Linked DNA regions of Arabidopsis thaliana. The protein of the gene in region 1 interacts with the protein of each later gene in a biochemical or structural test. Each region holds a gene or a part of one and is shown on either strand. Other genes may lie near its edges.

Evidence for each region.
Region 2: the proteins of OBP1 (region 1) and TGA4 form a complex in vitro, tested with the Arabidopsis thaliana proteins (one study listed by BioGRID).

Annotation. Positions count from the first base shown.
Region 1 is NC_003074.8:18,707,663-18,711,440, forward strand, and holds OBP1 (OBF binding protein 1), read left to right. Parts: upstream 1-1,950; 5' UTR 1,951-2,209; coding exon 2,210-2,971; 3' UTR 2,972-3,174; downstream 3,175-3,778. Other genes in the region: AT3G50420 (Pentatricopeptide repeat (PPR) superfamily protein), read right to left, coding at 3,209-3,778. UniProt on the Arabidopsis thaliana protein: Transcription factor that binds specifically to a 5'-AA[AG]G-3' consensus core sequence. Enhances the DNA binding of OBF transcription factors to OCS elements.
Region 2 is NC_003076.8:3,142,601-3,146,532, reverse strand, and holds the start of TGA4 (TGACG motif-binding factor 4), read left to right. Parts: upstream 1-2,279; 5' UTR 2,280-2,321; exon of another isoform or gene 2,322-2,333; intron 2,334-2,375; exon of another isoform or gene 2,376-2,546; coding exon of another isoform or gene 2,547-2,810; intron 2,811-3,932. Other genes in the region: AT5G10060 (ENTH/VHS family protein), read left to right, coding at 1-539; AT5G10050 (NAD(P)-binding Rossmann-fold superfamily protein), read right to left, coding at 890-1,229, 1,570-1,729, 1,940-2,279; AT5G10040 (uncharacterized protein), read right to left, coding at 2,547-2,810.

The DNA.
Region 1 (3,778 bases):
CCCTCACCTTATCATAACATATATACAGTTTTAAATTGGAACAAATATGATCACAATGATAGATCATATAAACACTCATTTAGTCATGCTCACCAGACGTTATTTGTAATGACTTTTCCATGTGTTAACAAAACTTAAAACGAGAGTTTATCAAAACTTATTATTTGGATTTACATGTTTCTCTTTTTTAAAAGGTTATGTTTGTTTTCGTCCCATGATGTAACTTTAAATCTTAGTATAACCCTATATATTTATTGCATAGATTTGGTGTTGATGTGGGATTAATGTGGTCCTTAAGAAGTCATACTCCAATACAAATTGTTTAGTCGTATGTGGACTAAGATAGATTCTGATTCGCTTGTCATAATCAAATCATTCATAATACAATTTTAGTGTTTATATTGTGTGAAACACGAACATAGTCCACCGCCCACCGCCACTACCGTTTTAAATTGAAATTTGTGAACAAATAAGCGACAGTCACCTGTCTATATACTTTGAAATAAAAAACTTAAAACAAAAGTGTTCAAAAAGAATAATCTCTAAATAGAGTAATAAACAAACAAAAGATCTCCGGTACATTACAATATAGTAATGTCTTTTCTAAGACAGCGAACAAATGAAACAAGATCAATTTTTTTTGGACTTTAATTTCAAAAGCTGCTTGATCGATCCAACAAAGAAACAAATAATTTTTAATTCTTCTCAAAAAATAAAGTAATAGGATAAATCCAATTATCCATTTTAAAGTAAAAAATTTAACGTAGACGATTGAAAAACGTGTCCCTTGTTTCCTACTTTCTCGAACATTCATTCTTTATTCTTTTTAATTCCGAATAGTTACGCTTACGATAGAAAATTAATGAGCTTACATAAATTTAACTTCTGACATTTACGGATGCTTTAGAAGAAAAAAACTAAATTACTCTATTAGTAGTACTAATTGTTATCGGAAACATACGTTTGCTTGGTACATTATAATAATGGAAAGAATCTTAAGAGATAAATATACAATTACTGGGAAAGGGCCGTACATTACATTGATAAGCTCAATAGTCTCCAAACCTGTGTTGCCTACTGCGACCTACTCTCTCTCTCTCTCTGTATGCGTTATCTCCGTATCATTTTTTTTTTTTATCAACGTGTCTTTGTTTTTCCACGAAAGATAAAAAATCATGTCATTATTATTAGTTTTGACTGTTGTTAGTACTAATTTAAACTTTAAACATATGTGACAAAAAAAAAAAAAAACTTTAAACATAAAAGCAACGTCATGACCAAACTTTAGCATTATTAGCCACATAAGTACAATTATTTTCATTTTTTGTCAAAAAATTGATTTATAAGGTTGGTAAAGAAAAGACTAAAATATGTATCATGATGTTTTCCCGATAATTAGGTACCAAAAATTATAGTCATCGATTAAAACCACACCGGTGAATTTTATCTCTGTTGATGTTTTTAAGGAATTTTTTTTTACGTTTTACTCATTTTCAAATGCCTCAAATATTTCAATTAAACGTTTGTGTGTGCCTATTTCACATAAATAAGCTTGTTTGGGAATTGTGATAGTCAAATATTGCGACCATCATTACAAATCATGTTTTTTTTTTCATGTCACTCACCACCATGAATTCTATGTGAGTTTTTTCCTTCTTTAAATAGTTGTATCCATATGTAGTATAAGTTAACTCGAATCTTAGCAACTAAAGCTAAACAAAATCTATAAATCCAAGTATTAAACCACAATTAAAGATGTGTTTTTAAGTGTGTGTGTGTGTGTTTATCCATTGTTCAAAGTCCAAAACTGAAAACTTTGAAAACAGAGCCATCTACGTATGAAGAGAGCCGACTTCATAGGGATGAAAAACAGAGCATTTCACTGTTTACAATAATCCCATAGCCGACTCAACAATTCCAAAGCTAAACAATAATAAACAAATCCTCATAAAAAGACAAATTTCAAAGACAAGAGAGAAGAGAGAGATAGAGAGCGTGGCCTCTAATCAACCCAACACCCTCTGTCAAAAACAAGCCTGACTTTCTTCTCCATCCCCATTTCTATCTGCGCATGTCTCTCTCTTTCTTCTCCATAAAAAACCAAATTCTCACTCTCTCATACCCTAAAGTTTCAACCTTTAAACCCTAAAACCAAAAAAGCTTCAGTCTTTTGCATCACTTCCCTTAAAGCTTCAACCTTTCTCCGATTATGCCGACGTCTGACTCCGGTGAACCACGGCGAATAGCTATGAAACCTAACGGCGTAACAGTTCCGATTTCTGACCAGCAAGAACAGCTTCCATGTCCTCGTTGTGACTCATCCAACACTAAGTTCTGTTACTACAACAACTACAACTTCTCTCAGCCTCGTCACTTCTGCAAAGCTTGTCGTCGTTACTGGACTCACGGTGGTACTCTCCGTGACGTTCCTGTCGGTGGTGGTACTCGTAAAAGCGCGAAACGTTCCCGCACTTGCTCGAACTCTTCTTCCTCCTCTGTTTCTGGTGTCGTCTCTAACTCTAACGGTGTTCCGTTACAAACGACGCCTGTTCTCTTCCCTCAGTCGTCAATCTCTAACGGCGTTACTCACACAGTAACTGAAAGCGACGGAAAGGGAAGTGCTTTATCTCTCTGTGGAAGTTTCACCTCCACTCTGTTGAACCATAACGCTGCTGCGACGGCTACGCATGGATCCGGTTCGGTTATTGGTATCGGAGGTTTTGGAATCGGACTCGGGTCGGGTTTTGATGACGTCAGCTTTGGACTCGGAAGAGCGATGTGGCCGTTTTCAACTGTTGGTACTGCGACAACGACGAATGTTGGGAGTAACGGTGGTCATCACGCTGTTCCAATGCCAGCCACGTGGCAGTTCGAGGGTTTAGAGAGCAACGCTGGTGGTGGATTTGTCTCCGGTGAGTACTTTGCGTGGCCGGATCTTTCCATCACAACTCCGGGAAACTCACTCAAATGAGAAAAGCTTCTGTCTTCATCAAAGGGCTTCAAAGTCTCTTCCTTTTTTTAGTCTCTATTGGTGATGTTGATCTCTTAGTTTGTGTCTTGTCAATTTAGAAACTTGTCTTCGGAAACTAGAAAACAGAGAAAGTTTGTGTTTTTTTGGCTCTATGTTCTTAACTTTGGTACTTTCTTCTGCTCTGTTTCGTTTAATTGATTTCGAATGGAAATGACTAAACTTGTTTAGAACAAACTTTTAATTTGAACAGACAAGTTTATTGAATGATGATTTGCACAACATATTTCTCTTTAATCTATTTAATTCATCTTGAGCTTGACTTACAACTTCTGGGTTCGACTGGTCTCCTGAGGAGAAAACTTGTGTATTGTTGTTGTTCACTTCAATCCAGCTCAATCCTGGATCTTTAGATGAAGCTAATCCTCTAATCTTCCTTCTCATCTCTGCAACATCCTCCCATCTCCCATTTACTGCATATAAATTTGATAGTAGAATGTGTGTTGCAGTGTCTTCTGGATCAAGTTTCAGTATTTGCTCAGCTGCATATAGTCCTATCTGCAAGTTTCTTGTGTTAACACATGCGCTTAGCAGAGTTCTCCAGAGCTCTGCTTGGTTGTTCCCGGGAGGAGATTGTTCTATCAGTTCCAGTGCCTCGTCTACTAACCCAGCTTTTGATACTAAATTCACCATGCAAGAGTAGTGCTTAAACCCTGCTTTGATGCCCTGTTCCTTCATTTGGTTCCATAGGAACTTACCTTGCAACGTTGATCCCCTGTGGCTACAGGCTGCTAATAAAGACAAGTATGT
Region 2 (3,932 bases), on another chromosome or scaffold:
ATGATGAGGATTACACATCAAAACAAACAACTGCTGCCACTACGATAACCGAGACAAATGACAACACCAAATCTGGTCAAGCATCAAAAATGACGCCTGCATCTATTGCTGCAATGCTCACAGCGTCAACCTCATCACATATGATAATGCAGTCTGTTCTATCTTCATTCGCAGCTGAAGCAACAAAGACTTCTGGTCTATCCAAATCAGAGAGCACAGTTCCGGTCTCAGACACTAATGCTTCATTCCCTTCTTACAACAACTCCCAGAATCAGACACCTACCACACAAGGTCAGTACCATGTAATACCTAATCCACCACCACCACAGTTCCTAAAACCACCGGTAATGAATAACCCTTACGCCTTTGGCAACATTCCGTTAATGCCACCTGGGCTTCCGCCACCACCACCACCACCACATTTGATAGGTAATCAACAGCCTCAAATTCCTCAGTCGAACTCAGCTCAGCAATCTCAACAAGGTCCAACTTTCCAGCCACCAGGGATAATGTATTACGGAGCTCCACACCATTCTTAAAATAGAAATGATGTTAGTTAATAGCTTTAGATAGTTCTGACCCTTTTTATCTGCTCGAATGCGGTTTCGATGTTACATTGTTGGGTCAAATCAAAGTAGAACTACTGTTCCTCTGGTTGTAGAATCCTCACCTTTTCCCGTTACAGATATTTGTACCACAAGTTTCTACAACATAATGTAATAATTTCTCCTGTTCACTCTCTATCTCCTTCCTGTATGTATGTATACTTCTATACCTTAAGAACCGAACTGACTCAAACATGGAGACATAAGAGATTCAATTAACAATTTGAACAAAGCTTTTACATTCGTGTTTAAGGTACATTCTGTCTTAAACCCCAACCTGATTATCACTTCTTCATTAAAACCTGCTTCTGGAAAAAATCTTTGAGCCATAAGGGCATATGATACATGACTGCCATGAGGGTTGAATACCTGCCTGACGAGAACCAAGCGGGTGGATTCTTCTTCAGCACTGCGGCTACAGTGTCTCTGGCAAATGTTTCTGCAGGAGTTGGATTCATCCTCTGTGATATAAACGCCCTTTCTCTGATAGCTTCTTCATAAGGCTTGTATAGTTTCAGCTCAGGCATTTTGTTGAAAGTTGCCACAGCTGAGTTTGCTATGTTTGTTCTTATTCCTCCCGGGACAACATTGATGACATCAATCCCAAACGGACGAAGCTCCAACCTGACGTTAAGCAGGAAACATTACAAAACAATTGACAAACCAAAACCATCCGGTGCTGGATAATTTGAACAACTACACTTGTCATGAACATCAAGAATCATCAACCTAACCCAACATCAGACTTTAGTCCTCAGAAATAATGATACTCAAGTTTGATCACACCTTAAAAAAAGATTAGACCATTTCAACAATTTTTAGTTTACTACCATCAAATCTCCATTGACAGAACAAACAGAATATATATCAGCATGCGACATAGGAAGATTATTCAAACGACACAAATAGCGGCGTTTGATAAGTTAAAACAGTGGAACCAAATCTGAAAACGGTAAAAGCAAACCTCAGAGTATCGGTAAGAGCATGAATAGCAGCTTTGGTAGCTGTATAGACACCAGCCCATGGACCAGGTGCCATAACAGTGATACTTCCAACGTTGACAATCTTTCCCTTTTTCTTAGACACCATGTGTGGTACAACAGCTTGAGTCATCCTCATGGAACCTGCATTGAAAAATTCACTTCTTCAAAACTCTCCTAACAGCCCAAACGCAACACACATGATCAACACGTATTTGAGTTCCTTGAATGTCCACAGAATCAACATTTGAAATGGATTGTAAATTCCAATGATTCACTAATAAGCAAAAAAACCAGAACTGTTGAAGCTCCAATAAATGTAATAATTGAAACTAAAAATCAAATCTTTATTACCAAAAACATTGGTGTTGAATGTGTTTTCCATGGCGGAAATTGGAGTCTCCGCCAGAGGTCCAACGCACTGAACTCCGGCGTTATTAACAAGAACGTCGATCTTACCGAACTTATCAATAACCTCCGACAAAACCTTACTCACATTCTGGTCCGATTGCACATCAAGCTCCTTCACGAATAACCTCGAATCTTGCTCCAGATCCGTCATCGTACTCCGTGATCGACTCGTCGCCACCACTCGACATCCCTTCTCAGTGAACTCACGGGCCAGCGCGTGACCAATTCCTCCCTGAGAACATCCCGTAATTAGAACCACCGGACTCTCATCGCCACTCTCCATTTTAGAGTTCCGTGGAACAACAACAATGGAATTTTTTTTTTTGTGCAAACCAACAAATTTCAGAGATTAATTAATGCATCGGATTAGGCTTAATTACTACGATGATTTGTTTTTTCTTACTACGACACCGTTTCCATTAACTTACAAGAAACTGTACTTAAAAACTAACCCAAAAGAGTATAAAACCAAAGCTTGTAGAACTCGAAACTTAAAGCAACATGCCCTCTGGTGATTAGAGAAGCAAATGAAAGTAACATCATGCCTAAACTAGATTTCCAGCATGAGGTTCAAACGTGACTTATAGTACAAGGATGAAACATAGTTAAGCAGAAAAAAGCCACTAGAAACCGCCACAGCAAACTGAGATTTAGCTTCAAATTTCCTCATCAGACTTTCAATCTTCTTCTCCTCAATCCCAAACATCATCAACCACCCAACCTCCGCTGTATTCGATGCTTTCTCTGCCGTTGTATTCACCTTTTGGTTACATTCATCTGCCACTAATATTGCTATGTCCGCCGATGAATCCATTGTTGGATCTTCCTATATCAGTTGTCTGTCTCCAATTCTATGCCAAAGATACACGAAGCTATTTATACTGGCTTCAGTGTGCGGGTTTTGAATGAGGAATGTTCCACTTTCTTTTTATGTTAATCATATCACATTACTTTCTATTGGCTTTGATGGTTTCTTTAAAGAGAAAATTGGCTAGGTTGGTTTATTGATACCGTGTGTGCACCAATACTTGTTTTAGTTACAGACAATGGTTTTAAAAACCTCGATTAGTCGGCATTGTCCAAATAATATTATACTTTTTGTGAAATCATTTTATTCCTCATTATCGAAACCCAAATCTGTTCAAAACACTTTATTGGGCCATAAATTATTATTTCTCAATCTTATGTTACAAGCCCAATTTTATATAAACTTACTTACAGCCCATTTCTCGACATTTTCAGTTTTTGACAAAAAAACTTTTTGGTTTCAAATTAAATCTTTCTTCTCTTTGTGGGCTTTCAAAACTGATGGGGATGCTCTTACAACTCATGATTTTTTGTTTCGGGGGATCAGGAAATGATAGGTCTCGTTCCACGACGATTTTAATAATCTTCTTTTAGATTATCTATCTTTTACTTCAACCAAAATTACTATTAGACGAAAGATGTTGACCAGAATACGTATTTTATTTTTGATAAATATTCAGCTTTTATATAATATAGTAGAAGAAAAGAGTAAAGTAAAAGAAGAAGATAAAATGTAGTCAAAGGTAGGAACCAAAAGGAAAGAGAAGAAAAGGAAGTTAATCTTAACATGATGATAGTTCCCATTTTGTCTTGGGGATAATGTCGCAAAGACTTCCTCAATTTTCTTACTTTCTTCCTATTTTACGTTCTTTTTCTTTTGTTTCTAGAAAGACATATATCTTTATTTGATATATTATATTCATATGAAATTTAGAAAGAATGTAAGATATATATATATATATATATATAATGAGTATTTAGAAAGTAAGTTACTTCGATTAATTAATCAACTTGGCTATAAAAACTATTATGAGTCAAATGTACATATGAACAATCTACTCAATTGGCTACTTCACAAATCTATCTATTTGTTTCAAGAAAATCCTTGCAATGAAATTCATCGAATAAA